4 linked regions of the Medicago truncatula genome follow. The protein of the gene in region 1 interacts with the protein of each later gene in a pairwise test. Links are inferred from orthologs where the notes say so. Each region holds a gene or a part of one and is shown in the gene's direction. Other genes may lie near its edges.

Region 1 (6,940 bases):
TTCCTATCATGGAAAAGTTAGTTTTTAACCATTAGATCAAACCAAGAACAAATCCTTACCATACTCCCTCATCACTAGATTTTGTAATTTTATTATTTTAAAACCATTTTTTAAAAACAAAAAATATATTTCGAAATTAAAATAAACATATAAAAATAAAAAATAAATTTAAAAATATGGAAATTAATTTTCCAAAATTTTAAAAAATATAAATAAACTTGTTTTCAAAAAATTTAATTATGATTTTCGAAGATTTAATTTTTGTAATTTTCAAATTTAATTATGATTTTCCGAAACTTTGAAGAATTCTCGATTTCACCTTCAGGTAAGGTTTTACATTTTTTTCGAAATAAAAAAATTCTAAAAAAATATGGAAATTAATTTTTGAAAATTATAAAAATTAAATCTTCGAAAATCATAATTAATTTTTTTGAAAACAAGTTTATTTCAAAAAGTTTATTTATATTTTTTAAAATTTTGGAAAATTAATTTCCAAAATTAAGTTTATTTTTTATTTTTAAATGTTTATTTTAATTTCGAAATATATTTTTTGTTTTTAAAAAATGGTTTTAAAATAATAAAATTACAAAATCTAGTGATGAGGGAGTATGATAAGGATGTGTTCTTGGTTTGATCTAATGATTAAAAACTAACTTTCCCATGATGGGAAAAATTAGTCTTTCCCATGCTAAACTTCACCTGTTAGTACTAATGAACATGATGATATCAATTGCAATATGTGACACAAGAAGAGTGAAGAAAATTGCATTAGATTAGATACTGAGATGGATCTAATAAATATAAATATGTGAAACAAAGGACTAAAATAAACATGAATTTATTAAAAATAGTGTTTCTTTGTACAATAAAGTAAACGTACGTACGTAGTGTACATTAAAAATAGTGTGTTTCTAACATGTGTTGTATTAAATGAAACTTTTTTCAATTATTCTCCTTTATATGTTGGTATCAAATCGAGTTGATTGCCTGTCCCCAAGACCCTTTCTCATCATTTTATAACTAAGAAAGAAAGAAAAAAAAACATTTTTTTCAGTGGAAGGAAAAGAAAAGACATTAATACTTTAATAGATTCACCTTTGTCACGCAGTTCACGAAATTTGACCATAATATTTTGTTCTTTATCATCTTCAAATTTCTGGAGATATATTACTCTTTTTTTAATAAATGGGAGATATATTACTCTAAAAACTATACTCATTCATAACTTAAATAGTAAAAACAAAATAAAACGACAAGAAAAAGAGAAATAAATATACACAACAACCTATCACAAATGTTTTGTCTGGTATAGTTAATTCTTGAAAAGGAGTGAAAGAACATATGTAGAAATTCTGTTCCCATATTTTCTACCCACTTCATGGCATTCATGGAGTACCCATCAACATGTTTTCTTTGGTACGTAGCAATATTTTTAGCCTCATTTCTACCGATACTTTTGTACATTTGGTCTCGGCAACCAAGGTCCCTCACGAGCAATACCATGATTATATATTGGTACTACATTGAACATTGATTAGATAGATTTTACTACCTTTGTATATTGTATGGTTTGATATATCAAATTATCAATATATGTGCTCTTGTCAATATGAATTATGCCCTTGAATTGACTCATTATATATTACTGGTCACACACCCTGTCTAACTATTGTCGATCACTTTTTTTGACAACAACTATTGTTTCTCTTGAACTCCTATGTCTCACAATAACGTCATATTTGATAATTTTATACGCATTAAAGAAATAAAAATAAATGAATTTTTATTAATCATCGGTGTATATTATTATCATTGATGAAATAAAAAACCATATTTATTTTCATTATCAAATACGACGGTTAACTAATTTTTTTTTTTTTTACTAATCATCGGCGTATATTTTCATTATCATCAATGTACGATACAAAAAAAAAATTATGATATTTTTTTTAAGGATAATTTATGACATTTTGAGTGATGCACATAATATTAATTAAACGATACAATTAAAAAAAAAAAGAGTTAAAACTACGTTAAAAGTGGATACCAACACTTCTTTTAGGAGGAAAATGTGATAGTTATTCTATGTTTTTAACTCAGGATCTGTTTGATGCGCATGATACAATAGAAACATGATATGATAAGAAACTGGATAAAAATAAGATACGATGATAATATAGAGATATATCCTGTGAAGCCCCGATACTTCAAAATGGATGACGTACCGTATCCCCTGCGTATCCTGCACCGATACCTGCCCGATACTTTCCGATACGTATCCGGAGAGTATCTAAATATTAAATTTTATTTTTTTAAAAAATAATTATCCGATACTTTCCGATACATCCCGATACGCACGGATACTTGTGTTTTTTTATATTATTTTGATTTCTGTTTTTTTTTTTTGTGTAAAAAATAAGAATAAAAACATTATATTACTATAATATATATATATTTCCTTTATCTTTCTTTGGTGCCAGTACGACCCACACCACACCACACAACCAATTGCATCTTTCCCTTTCTAAGAAATTAGGGTTTCAACTTTTTCTTCCAAAGTGGTCGCCGTCCACTTTGGCCACCGTCGAACTATCCAAAAGCTTGCTTTAAAGCTTCCTGTGCAACCTTGTTCTTCCTCCTGTTGTGAGAGAAATTTGAGTACTTTCTCTTTTATCCATTCTTTGAAAAGAAACAAAATGGATCCAAAAAGGGTAGAAGATTTGGTTTATGTGCATATTAATCTTCGACTATTGTCAAGGAAAGAATGTGGATATAAGAAAGGACAATCAAGAATGTGGGACATTAGAGGAGATGCGCATGAACCGCTTGATGGTGTTGGAATTGAGTTAGCAGAGTTGTCTTTGGATGAACCGGATTTGGAAGTTGATCTGTATCTTGATGATGGGAATGGAGGAGAGGAGATGTAAACGTCAGTTACTTGTTAGTGTTAACTCTTAGTACTGATGTGTTCTTTTTTTGGATATAGTGATTCTTTTTTGGATCGATATAGTATATCACTAACAAGTTCATTTTGGATATAGTGTAGCATTGATGTATAACACTGATGGTGCTCTTAATTTTGGTATATATTGCGTATGTAATTGACTAATGACCACTCTCTTAATCGTCAATATTATATTTATATTAATGTGCTACGAGTCTGGTTTCTTGTGTTTGTTAATATACTTGCATAATAAAAAAATGGTTATAATTATATAGTACATTTAATTATATAATTTTTTTATTAACGTATCTCAGCCGTATCGTATCTTGATTTTTGAAATTTTACCGTATCGACGTATCGGTGCAGTATCGTATCCGTATCGTATCTCGTATCCGGGCTTCACAGGATATATCATATCATATTTTTGGTGCACTTATGATAATAAACTTTATAGTATTATTTTTTCATTTCATTTGTTTAATACACACATAACAACGATATGATAAGATATATATTAGATTTAATAACAAAATTATCATTGTAAAACCAATAACTTCTTAAAAAAAAAATCAACTTTTCATATTTTTAATTGACAAAACCAACACATAAAATTAATTATATAGTTTTATCTCTCAATCACACAGACCCAAACTAAAACTAATTAAACAACGATTAAAACAAGGTGACAACTAGAGTACCCATGGAAGAATGGTGGGTAATTTATCCCAACCAATACACATTAGCCACATAAGCATATTTTTAAGTGATATTCATGAACTATCTTGACCCCACCAACAAATTGTTCATTTTCATTAGTTGGTGGGTAAATTACCCACCATTCTTCAAAGGTAATCTAGAAAAAACCTTAAAACAAGTTTTGGAATTGAAGCAATGAATTGCCTTTCGAAAAGGGTTTTGTTCTGAAAATTGGAAGGAACAAACTAGTCTCAATTATACACGGATGTAGAAGGAACAAAAAAATTGAGAACACAAGCAAAATGTTTTGGAAAAATTAGGAACACACAAATCGGGTTCAGACGAAGCATGCACAAAAGTGAGAGAGGAAAAAGGAAGGCACACTGCGAGAGAAGAAGAAGGAGGGCACAATTGGAGAGAGGGAGAAAATTTTGGTTGGAGTTTCAGAGAATATGAAGAATAGTGATGATAGTGTGTTTTGTTTGTGGAGATTTGTCTTTTCCTATCAGATTGCTAACCCTCCAAAAATTAAAGATAAAAATAACAAAGGACGAGTATGATTGAGTTAGAAATATATCTAATTTATTTTATCATATTGGTGCACCAAACATGCCATCAAGATATATTTTTCCTCCGGTCTCAAATATTCTTAACAATATATATATATTTTTAAATATAAGCAAAAGTCTACTTAACTACTATGTTTGATGTGATTATCCCAATTTTACACTTAAAAGTAAATATTGATTCATTTTCTAAATTCACTAATGATTGCAGTATTCTACACTTCACAAGAAGGATATAATCGGAAATAATGTCTTTTTTTCTTCTTAATTAATGCACTTAACCCATTTTCTTAAATGATGTTTTTCCCCCCTTACAAACAAGACCAAAGGAAGTACTACTAAAGTTAAACTTATGATTTCATATAAGATCTTGAACCCTTGATTTTAATATTTGAAGCCTGTTAACAAACTTAGCATCAGACAAATGCCAACAAATGTCTCTTAGGGCACTTGTTTAGATATTTAAAGCAGAATTTTTTTTCTTTGAAATCATGATCTCAACACATTAAAATTTCAAAAAAGAACCATTAAATTTTTACATAAAATTTTTAAATCATTTATTCTTTTGAATCCTTAACAAACATACTCCTGATTTTAAATTCTGATTAAAACAATTATTTATTGGATTTTTTTTTTAAGGATTTGTCAGATTGTTTATATTTCCTAATTAAACTCCAGATTAACGTATATTCTTTTGAGAAAATATGTTAAAGGATATGTTAAGATACAAAAAATAACCATATATTTTTTTTATACAGTTAATTATATTGTTAAATTTTCGTAAGTAAAAAAAAACACTCATTGCCCATAGTACACTTTATTTATTGACACCTATAATTGTCGGCTACCATGATAACATTTTTGGTCTACAAATTGCATAGGAGCAAGAAAAAAGAGTATGCTGGGTGGCGCTAGCTGCTGCTGAAAAAGTCCTCTTCATATCTTTCTTTCTTTATTATTTAAACCTTAAGGTGGCGGCTTATTCTTCTTACTACTACAATATTCTTTACCAAATTCTACATTTCCACAATGGGAAAAGGTTCCACTTCTTCTTCCTCCTCTTCCAACAGTAGAAGAAGGAAACATAATTCCTCTAATGTTTCATCCTCCATCACTCACCAAAATCCTGATCAACAACATCTTTTTCCTGATCTTAACCTTGGATTGAGCATTTCCACCACTCAACAATATGTTGATTATTCCACCTCAAGGTATGTTAAAGCAAAACATGAACCTTAAACTACTATGTTTGTGTCATCACTTTATTAAATTTTGTATTATTTATCATGTTAGGGGACATTGGCAACCAATTCAGCAACAAGGTGGTGAAGTAAATGACTGCAGTGATTACAACAGTGCCTTCTTTGTGAAGGTTTACATGGAAGGCATTCCAATTGGGAGAAAGCTCAATTTGCTAGCTCATAATGGCTATCATGAGTTGGTTAATACACTTGAACAAATGTTTGATACTACCATTCTATGTAATTACCATTCCCCCTCATTATGCATTTTTAATTCTTTCTTTGTTTGGTTAAATGAGTAATGATGGATTAATAATGTGACTTTGTTATTTCACCAGGGGGGACTGAAATGGATGGAGTGCAATCAGAGAGATGTCATGTGTTAACTTATGAAGATGGAGAAGGAGACTTGATTATGGTTGGGGATGTCCCTTGGGAGTAAGTTAACTTAACTATGACTTTTTCACAATTCAGCCACTTTAATTTTAGGTGAATTTGGCATAATTATGGTATTTTAGTGTGATTTTGACACAAGTTCATTTGGAAACTTAAACAAAATCAGTGTCGCCAAACCAGAAATCACAGTTACCGTAATTTTACCAAATTCATCGTCAATTCAAACACGTTCTTATAGAACATTATATTTTTGGTCATGTAGGATGTTCTTATCATCCGTGAAGAGGTTGAAGATCACAAGGGTTGATGCATTCGGGTTTTAATCAAAAGCATATATATTTGTTGAAGATCAAGCTTAGTCAAATGTAGTGAGACTCAATTTTAGTGATAAGAGATAACCAAAGTGATGATACTCTTAGATTATGTTTGAGGACTAGCAAGTGTGAGATAGTGAAAGAGAACAAAACCAAAATGAAGGGTTAACTAATTAATTTGTGATCCTTCATTTGAATATTTAAATTTTTGCAAAGTCCTTTAATATTAGGTCCATTTTAAATTAGAGAAGTGAACAAAGAAGTGTTTTGAAGGGTTATATGAGAAATTTAGTCAATTTTTTTATCCTTTTATGAAACTATTGAATAAATTTATATAGACACCATAAATACTTTTTGTCCACGCCTCTTACTTTACTTTATTTCAAGTTTCTAGAAGTCAACTTTTGGCTTCTATGTTGCCGACATAATCTCTCTATTGTTAAGATCTTGTTCCTCTCTGCACATTTCCACAAGGAAAATCAACAAACAAAAGGATAATTGCACAAAAATATACGAAGACACAGGAAACCAAGGTTGAAAATTAGAGCAGGTCATGTGCCAGGAATGAGGAGCAAAAAAGGGGACAAATATAAGTAGAAAGAATGTCGATAAAAGTAGTAAAGTAAATAGATGTCACGTAAATTAATTTTTTTTATTTGACAAATAATTTTGTCCCATAAAAATGTGGTTTTAAACTTGATCTATGATAGGTGTGTATGGAAGAACACTTTTTGTATAAAATACTAGTATCTTAAATTGTCATCATATTTAAAAAGATGGGAA
Region 2 (7,996 bases), about 34 Mb from region 1:
GTTTTCAATAGTTTCACATATATTTTTATTCAAAAAAAAAAAGTTTCACATATATTTAAAAAATTAATTCACCGTTAAAATATAGGTTAATTTTGATAGGTGTATAAAGTTTATAACATCTCTCGACAAAAAAGAAATTATAACATCTAATTCATCAACATTCTAGAAGTTTATTATAACAAGTCTCAAAATAATTTATAAATTTTATGTAGAATTTTTCGTTAGGGAAAGAAAAAATTGAAATGTTGAGCTAATATAAAAATATAAAACGGACTTATAAACAAAATCTTCATAAATGTAACTCAATTTGTAGAACATCTTATTATATATATATGATTTGAGGTTTAAATCCAAAATACTCTACGTATTTATTTTTGGAGATCATTTGATAAAAATAACAAATGAATCAAGTGTACAATGGTATTGTACATTGTGATGCTCTAGCAATTTTGCCAATTGTTGACTATGACGTTAATGGTAGTCTCACCAACTCGCCACATATATCTGCCAATTTTCAGGAGTGCTGCATCATTATTATTTCTCATTTATTTTGTTTTGACTCAAATGATCATTTTTTTTCATTTATTTCATTACATCACATCCATATAAAAGTTAGTTAAGATCCTATACATTTACCCTGCCTTTCTTCATTTCTTCCGTTTAAAAAGATAAAGACACGTAAAATTTAAAAAAAATTAAAATATAATTAATGATGGTGCAATCCACTTAATGATAGGATCCACAATCTACTATCTTTGTTCCTTTTTAATTGTCACATTTTGACATTTTATACAAACCAAGATAATCAACAATTGATACTACTTTTGATGCAATTAACTATACTTTTACTATAATGACCTTATTCATTTAACATTTATTTCATATATTTCTCTCTCCACAATAAATAACTAAGAACAATATTGATAAAACAACATCTAATGTTGCATTGAACTTTGAAAGTGACAGTTAAATAGGAACAAAAATTTTCTCCAAAAGTGACACTTAAAAAGGAATGAAGGGAATATTTTTTGTATCTCCGAATTGCATACTCTATTTATTTTGCCAAATGGATAGGATCTTACCATGAAAGTTGGGTTTAGAGTTTAGTCCAAAACATACTTAAAATGCAGTTTTTGTCCTGATTTTAATTTCTTGATTTGTAAATATAAAAAAATCGGGTGGCATTTCACATGGGAAAGGCCAATCCTTTCCTACCATGGGAAAGTTGGATTCAATGATTGGATCAAGTGAAGAACATATTCTTATCATGCTCTTTCAACATTAGATTTTTCTTCACACTATATACCAACAATTTTAAAAATTAATTTCCAAAAATTAAAAAAATCGAAAAAAATTCAGATATTTTTTTTTAAATTCTGTAATTTATTTATTGAATGTTAGAAAAAAATTTGAAAAATTGAAAATTTATTTATTTATTTTTCAATAAAAATAAAATTCTGGAAACTAAGATAAGTTTTTATTTTAGTAATAAAATGAGATATTCTGAAAAATAAAATAAAAATCCTTTTTTTTTTTTAAATTAAAGTTTTTTATTTTTATAATTAAATAAAATTCTGGAAAATAGTTTTTTTATTTTCAAAAAATATTATCTAATTTTTTGTTTTTATACTAAAAAAAAGTTTTATTTTGGAAAAAAACTTTTTAGAATGTTAGGAAAAAAAAATCTGATCCTTTTTTAATTCGGAATGGTAGTAAAAGTGTGTGCAAAAATCTAGTGTGAAGAGAGTATGATAAAATTGTTTTATTTATTTCATCTAATAGTTAAATACCAACTTTTCCATTTGTGAAATTGTCTTCGTCTCTGCCTCTAAGATCATCTCCAATTAGGATGTATGGATGTTTAAGTTGATAAATCTGCACTTTAATTTTTCAACCATCATGCTGCAAAATCGATAACATATAAATCGTTGAAGTATTTATATAAAATACGATATTATAAAATAACATTGAATATAGTAAAACTACCTGGTTTAGTTTGGATTTTAGAATGTGTTTCTTGTAAAGTCTTGTTTTGATTCTTCTTGTTCTTAGTTTTGGTGGATCGGTTTAGCTTTTTATTATTATTTTTTTTTTAAATAAAACATTGAATATAACTTAAAAAAAAATACTTCATCTGGTCTCGAATATAAGAAAACATTCATTTTTTAAGTTCATTAGATAAAAGATATATGTGATTTATATTATAGTTCAAATATATTATTTATTGAATGAACTTTAGAAAGAATTTTTTCATGTATTTGAGATCAGAGGGAGTATAAAACATGAGTTAATTAAGAGTTGTGTAATTTTTCTTTTTGTATTGGAGCAAAATAAGCATGATCCCATAAGTAAGATGTGCATTGAAGATCCAATTTTTTTAACGATAAAAATTATTTTGACAAATCGCACAATTAAAGATTATTTTAGAAATTCGACAATTTGAATGATTACTCGTTATCATTCAAGAACAAAAATGACAATTGTCTTAAATAAATAAATAGATGAGGTGTTCTTTGGTATCGATGTGATTTTAATAAAATCACAATAAAAGTTACTTCAATCAAATGCGTTATTAAAATTTGAACAATGATATTTGTGCATCATTACTTTCCATAAATCATTAAACACCTTAGGGTCTGTTTGGTAAAGCCATCAAACGAGCTTATAGCTTATAGCTTATAAGCTCGTTTGATAAAAAAAGCTCTGTTTGGTACTGTCTTTTCACCACGAGCTTATAGCTTATTTCACGAGCTTATAAGCTATTTTTCAGAAGCTATTCCAAGTAGCGTTTGAGCTTATAGCTTATAGCTTATCATCTTTTCTTTCATTTTTACCCTTATCATTTTAATTAAAACCCACTTTTACCCTTTATATATTAAAACACATTTATTACGTTTTCTATGTTTTTTTGTTCCTACGTTTCCAGTTTCTATATACTTCCAATTTAATTAGTACAACTCAACTACTCGAGTACTCTTCAAATAAAAAAAAACTACTGGAGCATATTTTTTGAGCATATTTTTCATATATTCATCTACTCGAACTTACTACTTTTAAGCATAGTTCATCATGTATGACGTTGAGATGTATGTTTTCAATGCTTTGTTACGATTTTTTTTTCTCTTGTAACAATTTTTGTTTTAAAATAAAATTATTTTTGAAAGAAATTTTTAAACTTGAATTTTTTTTGAAGTATAAAAATGGAAATGGAGTAAATTTAAAATAAAACTATAACAAAAAATTAATATTTTTTTGAAAGAGAAAAAATAATAATTTAATAATATATAAAATATATATTAAGAACATAATTTAATAATTTTATTAGAAATAAAAATGTCCTTTTATGTCATTTTACATTTATCAGCTAGTTTTACCAAACACTTTAATCAGCTTATCAGCTATCAGCCATCAGCTATAAGCTATCAGCTAGCTTATAAACTATCCGTTATTTTTACCAAACAGAGCCTTATTGTTTGTCTATCTTTCCTTTTCTATCTCGTTAACAATATATCATATCTATCACATCACTTCTTTTTATCTTTTTCACAAGATGTCAAATGGTTTTGGATGTACACCAATATTTTTCCTTCAAATTTTGTGTGATACACCATTATACCAAGTACTCACTCTGGTCACTATTATAAGCAAAACTCAACTTTCTAGATTCATTCAATAAAGGGTTAATATGCCTTTACCCCTGTAATATAGATCACTTTTGGTTTTGCCCCCTGTAAAATTTTCTTTTTGGAAAACCCCATAGGCTAGCTGACTCTGTATTTTCGTAGATGTGGCATGTTGCATCACTTTTTTTGGATGACGTGGCGCGCTGACTGTATAATTTTTTTTATGGGGTACACGTGGCATTTATGATTTTAAAAAAATTCTTAATTTTTTTTTTAAAAATGAAATAAATTCTGGAAAAATTAAAAAAATCTAGAAAATTTAATTTAAAAAATATGGAAAAATTAATATAAAACAAAATTTTCAAAAAAATTATAAAATAAAATCGAAAATATATTATTATAAAATTCTAGAAATTAATTCTGAAAATCAAAATAATTATATAATAATATAATTTCGATTTTTTTATAATTTTAATTTAATTCAGATTTTTTTATAATTTTTTTGAAAATTTCGGTATATATTAATTTTTTCATTTCATATTCTCAAAGGAGTAAAAATATTAATTAATGTATCTTTCTATGACATTTCATATTTTTATGTTACTTCAATTGCAAATTTAATCAGCTAACGTGTTTGTTATATGGTATATATGGTATGATGAAGTACGGACACTGACACGAACATCAGACACGACACGAACACTGACACATTAACACAAATAATAATTTTAAAAATGACATAATTTAGTATAATTATAGACATCATATCTGTGTCAAATATCGACACGTATCCGACATGAGGAGTTAGGACACACCTAATTCAAGAATGTCCCTACCTCATAGGTTATATGTTATAAAATCACCACCAAACCAACCAAAATAAGTTTAATACTTTTATAAGATCATCCATTATAAACTAATTTATAATCTATTCACAATTTTTACTAAATAGAGGTTATACATATACTAACTAGGGGTCCCAATGGTATATTAATTACCCTTGCTATTATATTTTTGTTCAGAAAAATAAATGTACTTGTGTTTATTCAGAGAATAATAAAATAATAATGTTTGTTGCAGTTGCAAGTACTTGATAGCGTGTAAGTATTGTACTGTTTCTGACTTCTTTATAGACACATTACATTACTTTTGCGTATATAGCTCTGCTTTCCCTATTTCAATTTATTAATAATATACTCTATTATTATTCTATACTATAGTACAGTACTATTCTACTAGTACCATTTTCTTTACCTCTTAATTATTTTTTTCATAAATATAAATACTATAATATAATAAAGCTGCAAGGGTTAGAAGTTGTTGTTGGAAGTAGCATGCACACTGCTTCTTGCTGTTTGAAGCAAAGAGAAAAAAGAGAGAGAATAGAAAAAAGTGCTTTGAGAATTGTAAAGAAAAAACAAAGAAAGAAGGCACTGTTTCAGAGTGTGATGTGATGAGTGGTTTCACTCAAAGGTTGGTTTCTTTTTTATATTTAAAGATAAATAAAAAACCACTCATTATGCTTTGATACGCGTGCTTTGATGCAAACTAATGAAAGTTTTTTATTTTTTCTACTTTTCTTTTTGTCAAAAGATTTGCACTTTGACCTTTTTTAGCAGTTTTTGTTCCTTAGTTCACTCTTTTTCACATTACTTGGATTGTTTTGTTTTTCTTAGACAAACAACAAAATGAGATTCTCATGTTAAGAATTTAAGAATATTAATGATGATGATCAAAATGGACCCTTGTTCTTGTTTTGTACTACCCTTTTGTTTCTTCTACTTTTCTCTCTCAAGTCAATACAAGTTTATTCCTCTTTATTGTGTTTGGTGGTGATGTTGCATGTTGTGAATTGAAGACTAAGATAGTGGTGAAAGTGGAACATGGCTTCCTTAGACGAAAAGGCTAAAAGTGTTGGAGGTGTTGTTGGTGGTCAAACTCTTGTTGCTGAAATGAAGTTGCTCAAAGAAATGCAAGAACATTGTGGTAAGTTCATGTTTCCTTCTCTTTTTCTTAATTTTTACAATGTTTATGTTATATGTTTTCTTAGTAGAAATTGAGATTTTGCTTTGATTGATATTTGGTTTTACTAATTTTTGTTTAGGGGTTAGAAAGACATTAAATTCAGAATTATGGCATGCTTGTGCTGGTCCTCTTGTGTCTTTGCCTCAAGTGGGGGGTCTTGTCTATTACTTCCCTCAAGGACATAGTGAACAGGTAACATTCAAACTCAAGAATCTCTTTTTTATGCTTTAACATTTGTAAGTGCTAGAATTAGCATGATTCTAGGTTTCTATTGAATGGTTGAAACATGTGTTGAACTTTTTTTTTTTTTTTTTTGTGTTTTGTCTTTTTAAGGTTGCAGCTTCTACTAGAAGAATAGCAACCTCACAGATTCCAAACTACCCTAGTCTTCCATCTCAGTTGTTGTGTCAAGTACAAAATGTCACACTACATGTAAGTAGTGTTCTCTCTTGATTTACCACTTTTTGCTTAACCACTCATTCAAACTTCAAATTATCATAACCCCTTTAAATTGTATGTTTTGATAACAGGCTGACAAGGAGACAGATGAAATCTATGCTCAAATGACTCTCCAACCACTGAATTCTGTAAGCTATATGAATTAGTTAGTTCTAGAATTATTGTTGTTGTTATTGTACATCTAAATGTTATTGGTTATGATTATTATTGATGTATTATTTTCCATTTTTTTAGGAAAAAGAAGTATTTCCAGTATCTGAGTTTGGACTAAGCAAAAGTAAACATCCAACTGAGTTTTTCTGCAAAACTTTGACTGCCAGTGATACTAGCACACATGGTGGCTTTTCGGTTCCACGCAGAGCTGCGGAAAAGCTATTTCCTCCATTGGTAAGGCTATATTGCACTAGGTGGTTGCAACCTTCTTTTATGGCTGTACAAGAACCCTCATTTGATTAGTGTGTTTTGGTTTTAGGATTACACAATTCAACCCCCAACTCAAGAACTTGTTGTTCGAGATTTGCATGATAATACATGGACATTTCGACATATTTACCGAGGTGAGGATGTTTTCTGCATCTATGTAGCACCTAGCATATACACTTTAGATTAATGGTGTGTCCGGTGTATGATATGTGTGTCAGAATCGGTCACCGACACATGTAGTTACATTCAATTTTTTTCACGTTTTCTAATTATTGTCAGTGTCGGTTTCATGTGTGGTGTTCATATCTGTGTTTCATAGTTCTACCATGTCTATTGGTTTGGTAAAATATATAGGAATAAATGTTTGTGGCCGTGGATTACATATTGTATTATTTTAACTGCAACTTTATACTTCCTCTTGGCTGATCTTAACCTTCAAAATATTTAGTCTTAAAAGAGCCTGATTGGGTTAGATCCTTACATTTCTTTCCTACATTTTTCATGTAGGTCAGCCGAAAAGACACCTTCTCACAACGGGTTGGAGTTTGTTTGTCGGCTCAAAAAGGCTTAGAGCAGGCGATTCTGTTCTTTTTATCAGGTAAAATTTGTTTGCTTCATTTTTGTCAAGTAGCTTCAACATGATACGAAACTCTGTTATTATCTGAATATAGGTAGAATAACTAGTGTGCAGAACAAAGTCTGCATAATCTTTCTAATTAGACTTGTTTTTTCTCCATGGTTACATTGCAATGTAATGGTTTTCAATATTGGGAAAATTGTGGAAGTCGGATTAGCAACTTATTATTTTAAATTCTGACCAATAATCATCTTCACATAATTTAATACTAAGTGTGATGTGTCATTGTTACAAGGGATGAGAAGTCGCAACTGCGAGTTGGTGTAAGGCGTGCTAATCGTCAACAGACAACACTGCCATCATCCGTACTTTCTGCTGATAGCATGCACATTGGTGTGCTTGCTGCTGCAGCTCATGCTGCTGCTAATCGAAGTCCGTTCACGATTTTCTACAATCCAAGGTATACCTAAATATGTTTATACCTCACCTGACATTAAATATTTTTAGATCTAATCTTGGTACTAATATTGTCTGGAGTGTACTATTTGCAGGGCATGCCCTTCAGATTTTGTTATTCCACTAGCCAAATACAGAAAATCTGTCTATGGGACTCAGCTGTCAGCTGGCATGAGATTTGGTATGATGTTTGAGACCGAGGAATCGGGTAAGCGCAGGTAATTTCCTGAATTCTTCTGAACTGTTTTCTGGGATATGTGCAAACTCCTGAACTAACAAGAATAGTTGATATATATATATTTCTTCTTATTCTGCAGATATATGGGTACAATTGTAGGTATCAGTGATGTCGATCCTTTAAGGTGGCCTGGTTCTAAGTGGCGAAATATTCAGGTAGGTTAAGTTCTAGTAACCCCAGTTGTTAAGATCTACC
Region 3 (7,898 bases), on another chromosome or scaffold:
AATAAATATTGAATTGTGATTTTTCTCACGAGTTTGTCCCTATTTATTACATATTTGTTTGTGCGGTGGAAGGAACGGGAATGCATTCCCCGCAGTGAAAATCTCTACGGTTTACTGCAGTGTCAACCCTAATACTTACTATTAAACACTTTATCTCTTCTAATTTTGCATTTAATTGTCTATGTTTTATTTTTTCAATGGTCATGATTTCACTAAACTCCTCAGTCACTTGAGATGATCCAGTCCAAAAAGGAACCACGAGGATATGGGTTTAATATAAACTACATTTTGTAGCTTTGATTTTTTCACCACAAAATTTGTCTCGAAACTTGAAATTTAAAAGTTTGGCCATATATCCAAACATATGTTTAATCGAATGCAATATATTAAGGGACAACTAGTTTCATACCGATAAAAGTCATTCAGGAGCACGTTTACATGGAGGAGGCGATTTGATTTGGTTCCAACTAGACCCAATAGAACGGAAAGAAGTCCCACATCATGCCATAAAGTTAAGAAATAGATTTATATAACTATTGAGGATTAGAGTAGAATTAGTTCGACGTTTCCGTTAAATATGTAAAAGTTATATAACTGTATATTATATTGGTTTGAACTTTTGATTAATACACCGATCAATCATATGCTTGAATACTAATTAATGGGCCTAGGCAGAAATCCCAATGTATTCTTTTGAACTTCTGTCTTAGTACATTTACATGCATATTATATGTATATGTATATGATGAATGATATGAAAAATCAAGACTGTTACCTTAAAACTAAAAAAGGAAATAAAGATATGAAAGTATCACAAGCTAAGCATAAGCATGTTGTAATTTATCGTAGAAAAAGAAGAAGCTTGTTGTGATTGAATAATGAACAAAATAAAGACAGACACAACGTCAAATATAACTAATTAACTAACAGAATTAATATACTAGTAACTAACAGCTAACAAGTTGTAACACCTCCCTCAAGATAGAATGTGGATATCCAACATGCCTAGCTTGTAATGCATATTAGAGATCCTATCTTATTTAATACATTACTTTTTTGATTCAGCAGTATTAGTGAGCTCAAGATTATTTAACTAAGGTTAATTAAGTTTTTGGTCCTTATAAACATATGCAGTTTTGTTTTTAGTCCCTATAAAAATAAATTACACTTTTTAGTCCTACAAAATTTTCTGTTAGTGTTTTTAGTCCCTGTTAAATTAAAATTTGTTTAATTATGCTTAAACTTCTTAATTTTTGAAAGATTTTTTACGTACATGTTTATAACATCTTAAGACACTTTTTTGTAAATTTTTTTTACTTTTTTTAACATGTAATGAACTAAATATGAATTTTTCTAAAAGGAAAATTTTCAAGATTATATTAATGAAAATTGGACCTAATAATAAAATTTTAAGTGACTTTTTTGCGGAGGAACTTTGTATAATATTCTAAGTAAGTATGTGAAAAATATGTTACAAATTTAAAAGTTTAAGCACAATTAAGCAAATTTTAATTTTACAATGACTAAAAGTATATGGTGGTCCATGTTAAACTGAAATTTGTTTAATTATACTTAACCTTTAATATTTTTAAATGATTTTTAACAAAAATGTTAAGAACATTATAATAATCTCTTTTATAAAAAATTAGAATTATTTAACATGTAATCGATAAAATATAATTTTTTTTTAAAACGCCAAAAATTTAATATAAAACTAAGAAAAATTTGGACCTAAAAATAAAATTTTTGAGCTAAATTATTGTGGCGGAACCTTTTATAATGTTTTAAACAAGTATGTAAAAAATCGTTAAAAAATTTAAAATTTTAAGCATAATTAAACAAATTTTAATTTAATAGGGACTAAAAATACTAACGGAAAATTTTGTAGGGACTAAAAACAAAACTGCAGATATTTATAGGGACCAAAAACTTAATTAACCCTTTAACAAATAGATATAGACCAGTTTGCCTCACAGTAAGTGCAGGGCGGCCGGTCCTTAAATTTTTTATGCTTTGGACGAAATAATAAAATTATGTCTTTTTAATCATTTTAATAGTTTTTTTCTTACATTTTTTGTTGCAAAAGATTCATTTATAATCAAAGTTTTTTAAAAATATATTTTCACTATAATTAATTAAACCGAATTAAAAAGAAATATATCTATATAATACTAACTATTAACTAAAATGTCCTCGTGAATTTAGCTCAGTTGATAAGGACAATGCATAATACATGCAAGGTCCGGGGTTCGAATCTCGACCACCAAAAAAAAAAAATACTAACTAAAATTAAAAAATTTAATGCCTCTAAAATAATGGTGCACGGGCTGCCGCCCCTTTCGCCCACCCTCAAGGCCACCCATGAGTAAGTGCTATATATGCACTCTGCTTATCTAGAAACGATATGGTTGTTTGCTTCCTATCATCAAATTCATGTGTGATTATTTCAATGTTCGTTTTAGACTTCTAACCATGTCATTTTTTTTTTAAACAAAAGTATCCATCTTCTTTTATCCGTTTATTTCTTATTCTTTAAATCTAAACTTCTAAATCTGAAATCCTTATAAACTCAAAATAATGAGTAATTCATCTCTAATATAACGTGTGAAAAATGAACATTTGATTGTTGTTCATCTCTAATTATGAAATAAAAATTATCAATCAAATAATCACAAAATATAACAAAAATTAGGCCAATAATAAAAGATAAACATAACTTAAAAGCTAACAACATAAACAAAATGTAATAGAAATGATCAGTTTAAGAAGAATTTCTTTTTGAAATATCAATTTGAAATAAGGTCAAACTTAAGGACCACAAACATAATTTTGTATAATTTTAAAATCTCTTATATTGACTTCTTTAGACAGAAAATAAATATGGTCGCTCAAACCTTAATTGGAGCAGCGAACTCATCCGCAGTGCTATCATTATATTTTGGATAATATTTATTTTAGTTCCTAAATGTATAAAGAGTAGTCATAATAGTCTTTTAATGTATCAAAATTTTAAATAGTTTCTTATGATGTATTTTGTTAATCGAAATAGACTTTAATGCTAAAATAATCGCTCAATACTCATAATAACTTTTTTCATATATAGACGAAAATGATAAAAATAAATAAATAAGTATTTATAAGGATTGATATGACAATAAGTAAGTATATGTATCAAAATTAACACAATATTTTAGGCTTAAACTCACTTTTTACCCCCTAAGTTTGCAAAAGTTGCAATTTTGGCACCCTATTAAAAAAAATGGCAAAAGCTACCCCCCATGTTTTCCCCCTTTTGCAAAATGCCAATTTTGACCGAGTCAACCATATGTGGCATGCCACATGTGTAAATTTTTAATTAAAAAATATTAAAATTGCCACGCGTGTATCTTTTGAATTAAAAAAAATCAAAAAAGAAAAAAAATGGAGAGGCACGTGAGTGAGAGAGTCTCTATGCTCTCTCTTCTTTCTTTTCCTCCCAATTCTTTCTTCCTCTTCCTTCTTTCCTAATTGCCGCCTCCCTCTTCCCTTTTTCCGGCCACTCTTTCCAGCCACCCAACGTGGTGCTTCCAACCATCCTTTGTCAAACAAAATACATAATATTTATTCACCCTTCCTTCTCTATCTCATCATAAGTTTATTTTTGGATTGGAGATATTTTGAGTTTTCAAACCACCACCTTCATTGTTAGATCTAGACCACCACAAAACGTTTTTCGATAAATTACCACAATAAAAGTACTCTCCTTCGTATTCCCTACAAAACCCACAAAAAATTATGCTTGGATGACATTTTTCCGACGACCACCACACCGGAAAACATCACCACCGCGCCGGAATTTAAATCTATTGTTTTCAGTTTGTTTTCCAGAAGCTACGCTTCTTATGACAGTTGCCGATGATGAACTGCTACATTTTTTCATGGATTGCTCCTCAATGTTGATAATTTTAATAATTTGCAAGTTTTGGTTAGGAAAGAAGGAAGAGGAAGAAAGAAGTGGGAGAATTTGTTTTGCAAAATGCATTCTTTCCAGCATTATGGACAAAAGAAACAACAATGGTGTTATGTTCATTCACTCACGTGCCCTCTCTTCTTAATTTTAATTTTTTATTTTTTTTATTTCTTTAATTATACATGTGGAATTTATGGATTAAAAAAAATAAAAAATAAAAAATAAAAAAAATACCCAAGTGGCATGCCACATATGGTTGACTCGGTCAAAATCGACGTTTTGCAAAAGAGGGAAAACATGGGGGGTTGTTTTTGCCATTTTTTTTAATAGGAGGCCAAAATTGCAACTTTTGCAAACTTAGGGGGCAAAAAGTGAGTTTAAGCCAATATTTTAATGTCTGAAACTTTTTTGACTAACGAAGTACACAATCATTAACTATTTTAAGTGGGGTGTCCGGGATTCGAACCCCGTCCCCTGCACATATTGTGCATTATTCCTTACCAAATGAGCTAAGCTCATGGGGATAGATGTATTCAATATTTTATTATTGATAAAATGAAGTGAAACATTTTTCCTCTCCGAGATAGTTTTGTTGTATCTTTTTTAACAAAAATATAACATGTAATAAAATATAGAGTTTAAAGTGTTTCAAAAAGGATTACATCGAAAACCAAAAATAAAATATAGGGTCCAAATAATACATAACAGTACTATTTTTATTTATTTAGAAAATAAAAATATAGAGATGATACGTGTTGTGCTAAAAATATGTCTGCAACCAAACAGGTTTGTAGAGACGACACTTGCCCTATACGTGGCAAATCATGCGATTTAACTCGGGAACTTGCCCTCTGAATTTTCTTCTGTCTATTGCGGCCTTTCATCCATTCTTTTTATTCATTTCTATGCCTTATTTTGTGGGGTACCCTTAGACGAAATGGACGAAGATAGTTACTAAATTTTTAGCTAATCGATCCTTATATATGCAGGTCTTTCGTTTGTGGAAAATCTTTTATATAATTTTAGCACACTCTTTGCTCACTATTCAGCCTCACTATCTTCTTAAGTAAGCTCTAAAACTTTTGACATTGAGACAAAAGGAGCTTAACATTACAACTTGCATTTCCAGGTATATTTCTCTCCAAAAGTTTGATTCAAAGGAAATAATGATCTCATCAATATACTATTTCTCTATATTTTGTTATATGCATGGAAACTTTGTGAACGTTTTTGGTTTGATTTCATTGGATTACCTATAATTTTGAACGTTAATTAGTGCAAGCATTTGAGTTTTTGAGTTTTGTAGTTTAGAGAATATGCTTTTATTTTATTTTATTTGGTAGATAGTTAAATATGCTATTTTGTTATTATAGATTAATTTATTCTATCTCTTCCTTCATTTGGCCACCAAATCATTTCCAAATGAGGCAACATTCTTTTCCTTTTGTGTACAAACATCAATCCTTTTCTACACCCACCAAATATTCCTCACAACTTAATTTATTATAGTTTTTCAACCGATCATCCAAAAACAACCCTTGTACTTTTAATGCATGTGAATAAAGAATCTTTTTATTCTCTAGAATAAAATTCAAGTTATAAGGTAGCTATAGGATCAAGTGCTTTTGAATTTGATAGTTCTTCTACTTAATGAAGAGTATAGAAAAATTAGTTGGAAGAGTAAATCAACTTTATGTGCCTAAGAATTGTCAACCTATAATTATATAAAATAAAATAAAAAACATTTTTAGCAGAAAAAATTATTTAATTTGATAAAATTTAACATTATCCCAAGTAAATTACGTTTTTTAAAATAATATGTTGTCATAAATAGATCTGAAGTGTGAAGTTTTCTTTGCACTGAAGCATTCTTTTTGTACCGAATAATAAAAGTAGTAGTTGCTTCGATATTCAATTATTCCATTGATAGAGCGATGGTGGTGCAGTTTCTGCTTACTTTTGAGCTGGTTCTGATCAAATATTGGATTTTCTATGTGAAATTCAGTGAACTCGAGAATCAAGACCAACAATTGATCATGTTTGGATAATATTAAATAATCTAAATTAGAATTAGAGGCATCTTGAAATGCACCCAAATAATAGAGGGAGTTGGAGGGGAGAAAAAAATAATCCAACTTATTGACACTGTTTTTTTTTTTTTTTTTTTTATATAAAAAGGAAAATGAATTGAGTGTGACATAGGTGTAGCCCCACCCCAAAATAATTTTACATATTTAAAACTCATAAAAAAAACTATTTATTTATACACTTTATAAAATTATTTTAAATTCGTATTGGTCCTCATGGCCAACAAAAGTTGGTCAAGTTGGTAAATAGTTGGCTCAGACTTTCTAAAGGGCGCGAGTTCAATTTTTTTTATTGTCAATGTAAGAATTTTGTTGACTTTATAAGGGCGTGAGTTCAATTTTTATTGTGTAAGAATTTTGTTGGTGGACAATTTATAAGTATTTTCTATGAACGCTCTTTCAACCTTGAGACTTGCTCTAATTTTGATGTCTTTTAGTTATAAAAAATAAATAAATCATCCCCAAAAAAGAAATTAAAATTTACAATTTCAACATTACTCAATACACCCTCAACAATTTCTCAGCATATTATAAGTTCTTATTAAATACATGACATAAGCAAATTGGCTGTATTGTAGTATTATTGTCATGAAGCAGTCCATTTTTTCATGCGTTGACAAAGGCATCTAACTTTTTTTTTTGAAAGAGACAAAGGAATCTAACATTTGTTAAGGTTCTTTGTTAACAAAAAGCTTATGTTGACTTATTTGTCGTTAACAAAGTTTTTTGTTTGATCAACTTTGCATTGATTTGAATTCTTGCATTCACAAATTATTGATGTGTTTTAAAAAGTCTTTTCATATTACATTGTATTATTAATCTAATAATTATGTTGTTAATGTGCTTTTTTGTTACGAGTGTTGACAAATATAATGTCTGGTGCAGTGCTGAAAATAAGACAAGCAGAAGAATATGGTGGTAAGAGAAGGTGAGATGAATTGGCAACAAGGGGAGGTAGAATCATTGCAAAGGGAAGGAGAAGAAGCGATCAGGAATGACGTCAACAATGTCATTTCTTCATCGCTCGGAAGGCAATCTTCATCCATATACTCACTCACCCTCGACGAGTTCCAACACAGCCTCTGTGATAGCGGCAAGAATTTCGGATCCATGAACATGGATGAGTTTCTAAGTAGTATTTGGAATGCAGAAGAAAACCAACAACAAGCTGCATCCAACAATAATAACAGCAACAACAATAACTTGTCTGCAGCTCAGAAAGGGATTAGCAAACAGGCAAGTCTTCCTCGCCAAAATTCGTTATCGATTCCTGCTCCTCTCTGCAGGAAAACTGTGGAACAAGTTTGGTCTGAGATACACAAAGAACAACAGAACCATCACAACATCAACAATGTTGCTCAGAATACCGAGTCTACCCCTCGACAGCCGACTTTTGGCGAGATGACATTGGAGGATTTCTTGGTTAAAGCAGGGGTAGTTAGGGAACAACAGTCTGGTATGCCGGTTGCCATAGCACCACCACCTACCGCAGCAGCAGTGTCATCTCACCGGCCGCAGCAGCAGCATTACGCCGCAGTGTATCCGAACAACAACTCTACAATGGCTCAGGCTGCTTCATTTGCTATTGGCGGCGGCGGGAATCTAAACGTTGTTGCGCCACCGTACCAAACGGTGGCACAGGGAGGTGGAGCAGTTGGAGAACCTTCGAGTTCAGGGTATGTTGGGAATGGTAAGACGAGAGATAGTATAGGTACGGGGTATCCTCCGCCGCCGCCAGCTATTTGTTACGGAGGGAGAGTGGTGAATGGAGCAGCGGGCGGTTATGGCGTGGCAGTGGCACAAACTATGGGAATGGGCGGACCTGTTAGTCCGGTTTCATCGGATGGGATTGGAAACGAAAA
Region 4 (7,681 bases), about 7.0 Mb from region 1:
GACCAATGGTTTGATCCGATTAGAAGATACCTTGTGGATGTTGCAAAGGTATACCAATCATAATAAAGAGATGAAGTCCAAGAAACTTGGGGAAATTATGTCTCGATCACATGACAAAGGTTATTTTTTCATGAAGAGCGAAGTTGTAAAGTGTAAGGAGTCTCAAACGCATGTGTCCCGCTTGTAAGTCTAGTGAGCAACGTGCAAAATGAAACATAGTTCAAATGTGTTAGCCTCAATCATGTGCACGACATGCGTGCTTTTGTGTGCAACATGCACATTTATCATTTAGCGAGACGCGCAACGCGTGTGATGTTGTACGGGGTGCGCATGTATAATGTAAAATCCGATTTACTTAAGCAAGCACTCGCCTAAATAGAAGGGTTTCAAATTTTGACGATCCATAGACATAAAGTGTGATGTCATTGACCTAAAGTGGAAATTTCCATCCCTTGTCAACAAGATTGAAGACCTTTGCTATTCTATTTGTGTGTGTAGCTCTTTAACCTTTTGATTATGTTGTTTATTAATATGATAAGTAGCTAAACTCATTAGATTTAGATTTAATGATGAACTTGTATGATATTGTTTGAACCATATAATCTATAAGTCCTCTGTTAAGGTAATTTGAACTATGCTTCTTCATTATACCTTGTGGTTATATGCTTTCATTGCATGATAAACTCTAATTGATTTTAGCTTAAAATATGGTTTTAGTCCCTGCAAATATGCCTCGTTTTTGTTTTAGTCCCTGGTAAAAAAAAAATTGTTTTTGGTCCCTGTAAAATTTTTTGTTTTTGAAAATAGTCCCTCCAGGGACTATTTTCAAAAACAAAAAATTTTGCAGGGACCTTTTTTAAAAATAAAATATTTTGCAGGGACCAAAAACTATAAAATTGGTTCAGTTATAATGTGTCACGTATGCAAATCATCACAAAAGTGGGGTCAGGGACTATTTTCAAAAACAAAAAATTTTGCAGGGACCAAAAACAAATTATTTTTTTACCAGGGACTAAAACCAAAACGAGGCATATTTACAGGGACTAAAACCATATTTTAGCCTTAATTTTATGTTGTAATTCATTATTACCACTAGGTCTTGTAACCGGAACTAGGCACAATGTTCTCTAACTAATTTATATAGATATAGGGAATTAATTAGTGCGGCTAATATATTAACGCTTAATCAAACTTTTGATAATATCAATTTCACCTAAGAAATTAGAGTTTTATATTATAGAAACCGTACCTTGAACCAAGAATTTGATCTTGGTCTATTTTTTAAATTGTCATGAGCAAAGGTATCAAATTATTTTTTTGTTTAGGACCTAGCATTACCAAGCAGGAACATAAAGAGGATTCAAACCATCTTAAGCTCCTGTCATCATTCTGAATTAAGTATTTATTTAATTTGATCTGCAAACCAACTATGAATGCAAACACCTCCATTTTAATTTTTAAATAAACATAGTTTAATTGCCTATTAGAAACAACAATTCATGTGGATATGAATCTCTACATATATTATTATTTGACGATGCATTTAGTACATTTGTCAAATAAGTCCATCAATAGGCTAAGTTGACTACATTAGTCTACATCAAGTCTAAGTCAGGCCATACTTCTTTGAAAATAGACAAGATGAAGATTATCTTTTATATCAAACAATAATAACTTAAGAAATCACAACCTTAATTGTAATCCTATACACTTCAAGTCTAAGTCAGGCCATACTTCTTTGAAAATAGACAAGATCAAGATTATTTCTTATATCAAACTCGTCGAACAATCAAACAATGATAACTTAAGAAATTACAACCTTAATTGTAATCCTATACAATCACAACCTATCAACATGTTTATGTATGTGTTGATTTAGTTTCACAAATTTTTTGAATTTACATTCATTATATCGTGATGCATGTAACATACTTTACGCGGCTCTAAAAAAAAATGTAACATACTTTAAGCATGTTGGTTCAATTTCACAAAATTTTGAACCCAGATTCATTACACAATGACATATGTGACAAATTTTCAACGCATGAATGCAATGTCACAAATTTATGAGCTCACGTTCATGGATTTGAGAGAGAGGGGGGGGGGGGGGGGATATCAAGTGAGAGATAGACATAACTTGATGAAGGAGGGAGAAAGAGACAATGAGGGGAAAGGAGAGGATCCAATCTCGATTTGCACATTCATCTCACTGAAAAATATATAACCGTTTTAAAACGTATTCACAAACAAATAATACTTGAAAAAAATTCAATAGTATAGGCTAAGCATGACTATTACTATTTTACCAATTTCTAAAATATTAAAAGTTTAAATAAGAATTCATACTATATTTGGCTATAAATATAAAAAGAAATATCAAATGTATTTTGTTTGAAATTCGGTCTAAATATATTTGACTATTTACAATGACCTATGATTTTAAGTGTGTTGGTTCAATTTCACAAAATTTTGAATCCACATCCATTACACACTGATGTATGTGATAGGTATTGAACACGCCACAAAGTTTTGAACTCACATTCATCTCACTGAAATATATGTAAATGGTTTTAAACACATTCACAAACATATAATACTTGGAAACAAATTTAATAGTTTGGCTAAACATGACTACTAATATTTTACCAATTTCTAAAATACTAAATAGAGAAGTTTAAATAGGAATGCATAATCTCTTTTGTTATAAATATACGGGGGAAAATCAAATGTATTTAGTTTAAATTCGGACTAAATATATTTGACTATTTACGGTGACCTATGTAACAAGTTTTAAGCGCGCTAGCACAATTTCATAAAATTTTGAACCCATATTTTGAACGCGTGTATTCAACATAATAATTTTTTGAACTCACGTACATCTCACTGAAATACATGTAACCGATTTTAAACGTGTTCATAGAAAAAATTATTCACTAGTATATGAAAGGCATGACTACCAATATTTAGCCAATTCTTACAATATTAAAAAGAGAAGTTTAAATAAGAATTTATAATCTCCTTTGTTATAAATATACGGGGAAAAATCAAATGTATTTGGTTCGAAATTTGGACTAAATATATCTGACTATTTACAGTGACATGTGTAACAGGTTTTAGGCGCGTTGGCTCAATTTCATAAAATTTTGAACCCATATTCATTACATTGTGGCGTATATGGAAGATTTTAAATGCGTGTTTTCAACATAATAAATTTTGAACTCGCATTCATCTCACTGAAATACATGTAACCGATTTTAAACGCCTTCACATACACATAATACATGGAGGAAAAAATTCAGTGGTATGCTAGGCATGACTACTAATATTTAGCCAATTCTTACAACATTAAATAGCAAAGTTTAAATAAAAATTCATAATCTCTTTTGTTATAATTATACGGGAAAAAATCAAATGTATTTGGTTCGAAATTTAGGTTAAATATATTTGACTGTCTGCAGTGATCTATGTAACAGGTTTTAAGCGCGTCGGCTCAATTTCATAAAATTTTGAACCCGCATTCATTACTTTGTGGCGTATATGGTAGATTTATAACGCGTGTTTTCAACTCATTGAAATACATATAATACATGGAGGAAAAAAAATTCACTAGTATATGTTAGGCATTACTACCAATATTTAGCCAATTCTTACAATATAAAACAGAGAAGGTTAAATAAGAATTCATAATCTCTTTTGTTATAGATATACGGGAAAAAATCAAATGTCTTTGGTTCAAAATCGGGTTAAATATATTTGACTGTACATAGTGACCTATGTAACAGGTTTTAAGTGCGTCGGCTCAATTTCATAAAATTTTGAACCCGCATTCATTACTTTGTGGCGTATATGACAGATTTTAAACGCGTGTATTTAACCTAATAAATTTTTGAACTCACATTCATCTCACTGAAATACATGCGTGTAACCGATTTTAAACGCGTTTACAGCACATAATACATAGATGAACAAAATCACTATATTTAGCCAATTTCTAAAATACTAATTAGAAAAGTTTAAATAAAAATGCATGCACTCTTTTGTTATAAAAAAAAATACGGTTGGTTCAAAATTCATATTAAATACATTCGACTTTTTACTTTATATTTAAAATTGATTAAAAAAATTAACCTTAGCCCATTCAAAATTTTGTGAAAGAAATTAAACTTAACCAGTTTACTAGTTTACTCCAGTCAAGATAAACTTACTTTTGAACATTGAAAGAACACATCATATAAGGTAAATCCAAAACTATTTTTTTTTTAAGGAAGGTAAATCCAAAATTTCAAACCAATAAAAAAAATCAGAAACACAGTGTAATAAATTGAATCAAGAAGTAAAAGTAGTAAAAGTGAAGCTGAAATGGGTAGGTCTAAAAAAATATTAATTAAAGCTGAAACAAGGGAAGAAAAAGAATAACAAAGGTCTTCATGTCGGTCCCACCTTCAAATCTGTGACAGAGACAGCAGTTTCATTTCTCAAGCTGTTTCTCATGCTCTCTCTCTCTCTCTCTTCTTGTGTGTGTTTTTTTCTTATTTAAACTCTTAACTCATCTTTTTTTCCCCTCTCTCTCTCTCTCACTAGAGTATAGCTACAAATATAAAATTGTTTTATTTTTTGCTTGTTTCTTAGGACTTTTATTTATAAATGTTTTTAGTCTAAAGTTAGAACCTTTGTATTCTTATGTGTGTGTGTGTGTGTGTGTGATGGTTGTGTGAATTCTCAAAGAAACCAAAGTCCTCTCTTCACACCTTCAATCTCAAACCCATGGAAACATCAACAACAACAACAGCAACAAGATTCTAGGGTTTGACAACACAAGTTCATCAAGGTTTGTCTGCACTTTGATATTTTTTTGTTGGTTTTTTTTGTCACATGAAAATTGGGTCTTTTTTTATTTTTTTTTATTTTTTATCTTTGGTCTTTTTAATGTAATGTTGAAAGGCACTATTAGTTGATTCTGATTCATGGGTCTTTTTTGTTTCAAAAAAAAATTCAACCTTTATCTTCTTATGAACTGAAATTTTGTAACTTTAACTAAAAATAAAAATCCTATTTTTGCGGTTCATTGTCTGGTGAAAAATGGGATTTTTTTCATCTGGGTATTTTTATCTTCCACATGAGAATCAATGTCTGATATATTTGTGGATAAATGAGATGCTTTCTTTGTGTTTTGGTGTGTTCTTCTTTTGATTTAGGGACTTAGTTTTTTTTTTTTTTTTAAATATTTTTATTTTCTGAATTTTGTTATAGATAGAAAGAGAGAGGCTAAAATGGAAGAAGTTGAACAAGCAAGCAGAACAGCTGTTGAAAGCTGTCATAGAGTTCTAAGTATGTTGTCTCAACCAAGGGATCAAGTTCATCATAGGAATTTAACTGTTGAAACTGGTGAAGCTGTGAATAGGTTCAAGAAAGTTGTGTCTTTGCTTCATGGTTTGGATCATTCAAGAGTTAGGAAGCTTAAAAATCTTCAAAATGTTCCTTATCCTCAAACTGCTTTCTTAGACAACCCAAATTGCAAAAGAAACATCATCAACCATCACACCAAAAATGTTCACTTTACTCAAACTACCTATCCTCAAAATTCAGTTCAGGAACTTGGTTCAACCCTAAGAAATCCACTTTCTCTTGGAAACCCTTCTTTGGAATTGAGTTCGAACGGGAAAAGTCCGCTTCACCTTGCTCAACAAGCTGCATCAACTCACTATCAATTCTATCAGCCGCAGCAACAGCATCATCACCAGCAGCAGCTGCAGCAACAAAGGTTGTTGATGCAGCAGCAGCAACAGCAGCAACAAATGAAGCATCAAGCTGAAATGATGTTCCGAAGGAACACCAGCGGCATAAGCCTTAATTTTGACAAGGCTACTAGCAGCACACCAACAATGTCGTCTACTAGGTCTTTCATTTCCTCCTTGAGCATAGACGGAAGCGTAGCAAACGTTGATGGAAGTTCCTTCCATTTGATAGGAGCTCCGATCTCTTCAGATCAGAATTCACAGCACAAGAGGAAATGTTCTGCTAGAGGTGATGAGGGAAGCTTGAAATGTAGTAGCAGTTCTAAATGTCATTGCTCAAAGAAAAGGTAATTCTTATGGTTGCTACATTAATGGTTAATTTCTGTTACTTTAAAGGTTTAAGAAACCATTATAATATCATATTAATAACTTTATGTGTTCTTGACAGGAAGCATAGAGTGAAGAGATCAATTAAGGTGCCTGCTATCAGCAACAAGCTTGCGGATATCCCTCCTGATGATTACTCGTGGAGGAAGTACGGGCAGAAGCCTATCAAGGGCTCTCCTCACCCTAGGTATGCCCAACCGTTGTGCCATTTGAGATTTAATTTTATTGATTCAAGGAGCAAATAAATATGAATGTGTTGTGATAAACAATAATTTTATAAAACTTCTGAACTATTTCGTTACGCTGCTTGGTGTACATTTATGATTTTATCTTAAAGTATGTTGACATGATCTGATTGATGTACTAGCCTGTGGGGATTTAAATAATTTTGGTCTATGTGTGGATATGTAATATGTTGATTGGAGTTCTGCTAATATATTCCTTTGTCCATGTTTGTAATTTGTTCTTAGTTGGTATTCTGGTTGATGAGTACGTTGTATAGAATTTAAGTCGTTGAGAAGGTCCTTGAATGTTTTTATGCACTGTCAACTTGTAGCTCTTCATTTTTTCATTACAAATATCATATTGACAGTTCCATTTGTTCAATAGCCCCTTTTTTTTAACTTGAAAACATGTTTGAGAAATCAATTTGGCAATTTTGATATTCTAGGTGTAAACTCAATCTTAACCTTAGTAGCAAAATTTATGCTTCATTATTTGCACATTATTGTCAATTAAATGAAGGTGAAATGTGAACTACAACTCTACAAGTTTTATGTGTGATGAAACTGATTGTAATCTCTTAATTTTGTTTCTTCAGGGGCTATTATAAATGCAGCAGCATGAGAGGCTGCCCTGCTAGGAAGCATGTTGAGAGGTGCTTGGATGAGCCTACTATGCTAATGGTTACCTATGAAGGCGAGCATAATCACGCCAAGGTACCAACACAACCTGCAAATGCATGAACTACATGGAGAGTCACATTCAATTTGTGAAGACCTCTATGTGATTGGCTTGAGATGTTTCTGTACATATTTCAAGTGATGCGAGCAGGACTGCAGATTTTGCCTTTTGGGTAGCTTGGTTGGGGAGTCGTTTATTTAGAGGGAGTGATGAAGATCACTGGTTAAGTGCAGGAGTATGTAAAATTGGATAGTTTCAATTCGTAAGAACAATTTTATTTTTCTTAAGTATGTCATTAAACATTTCAGGGTTCTCTAAATTAATGGAAATTGTCTTTGGAAAATGGCTGAGTTCTTTCAATTTTGTTTTTCGAATCAAGGCTCTAGCAAATTGATTGTCGTAGTGATACATCACAGCAATTGATTCTAGTAACTATAAGTATCACATAATCTAAGTGGCATATACATAGTATGGTTATCTTTGGGTGTTAAAACAGCTTAAGCTAGTTGTTGCGTTTGGAAAACATACTTTCTATAGTGTTATTGCTGCACATTCAATGTGAAGCTTCCTTTTGTAGAGGTGTGACATACAAGGATATATTATTGCTGCTTCACGATGCAGCGGCTGTGAAGGATTAAAATATGTATGTGAATGCG

What was found.
Region 2: the proteins of auxin-responsive protein IAA30 (region 1) and auxin response factor 5 interact in a two-hybrid assay, tested with the Arabidopsis thaliana proteins (2 studies listed by BioGRID). The link is inferred for Medicago truncatula from reciprocal best matches to the Arabidopsis thaliana genes IAA30 and MP.
Region 3: the proteins of auxin-responsive protein IAA30 (region 1) and protein ABSCISIC ACID-INSENSITIVE 5 interact in binary tests that used the Arabidopsis thaliana proteins (3 or more experiments, as listed by UniProt). The link is inferred for Medicago truncatula from reciprocal best matches to the Arabidopsis thaliana genes IAA30 and ABI5.
Region 4: the proteins of auxin-responsive protein IAA30 (region 1) and probable WRKY transcription factor 21 interact in binary tests that used the Arabidopsis thaliana proteins (3 or more experiments, as listed by UniProt). The link is inferred for Medicago truncatula from reciprocal best matches to the Arabidopsis thaliana genes IAA30 and WRKY21.

Annotation. Positions count from the first base shown.
Region 1 is NC_053042.1:42,203,138-42,210,077, forward strand, and holds auxin-responsive protein IAA30, read left to right. Parts: upstream 1-5,094; 5' UTR 5,095-5,235; coding exon 5,236-5,417; intron 5,418-5,499; coding exon 5,500-5,687; intron 5,688-5,785; coding exon 5,786-5,885; intron 5,886-6,105; coding exon 6,106-6,166; 3' UTR 6,167-6,435; downstream 6,436-6,940. UniProt on the Arabidopsis thaliana protein: Aux/IAA proteins are short-lived transcriptional factors that function as repressors of early auxin response genes at low auxin concentrations.
Region 2 is NC_053042.1:7,849,107-7,857,102, reverse strand, and holds the start of auxin response factor 5, read left to right. Parts: upstream 1-4,938; 5' UTR 4,939-5,096; intron 5,097-5,236; exon of another isoform or gene 5,237-5,481; 5' UTR 5,482-5,506; coding exon 5,507-5,609; intron 5,610-5,727; coding exon 5,728-5,840; intron 5,841-5,981; coding exon 5,982-6,080; intron 6,081-6,178; coding exon 6,179-6,235; intron 6,236-6,341; coding exon 6,342-6,494; intron 6,495-6,579; coding exon 6,580-6,664; intron 6,665-7,037; coding exon 7,038-7,128; intron 7,129-7,402; coding exon 7,403-7,567; intron 7,568-7,658; coding exon 7,659-7,781; intron 7,782-7,880; coding exon 7,881-7,956; intron 7,957-7,996. UniProt on the Arabidopsis thaliana protein: Auxin response factors (ARFs) are transcriptional factors that bind specifically to the DNA sequence 5'-TGTCTC-3' found in the auxin-responsive promoter elements (AuxREs). Seems to act as transcriptional activator.
Region 3 is NC_053048.1:49,355,514-49,363,411, forward strand, and holds the start of protein ABSCISIC ACID-INSENSITIVE 5, read left to right. Parts: upstream 1-4,811; 5' UTR 4,812-5,078; intron 5,079-6,921; 5' UTR 6,922-6,948; coding exon 6,949-7,898. UniProt on the Arabidopsis thaliana protein: Participates in ABA-regulated gene expression during seed development and subsequent vegetative stage by acting as the major mediator of ABA repression of growth.
Region 4 is NC_053042.1:35,168,858-35,176,538, reverse strand, and holds probable WRKY transcription factor 21, read left to right. Parts: upstream 1-4,581; 5' UTR 4,582-4,828; intron 4,829-5,250; exon of another isoform or gene 5,251-5,254; 5' UTR 5,255-5,270; coding exon 5,271-6,082; intron 6,083-6,183; coding exon 6,184-6,309; intron 6,310-6,942; coding exon 6,943-7,087; 3' UTR 7,088-7,368; downstream 7,369-7,681.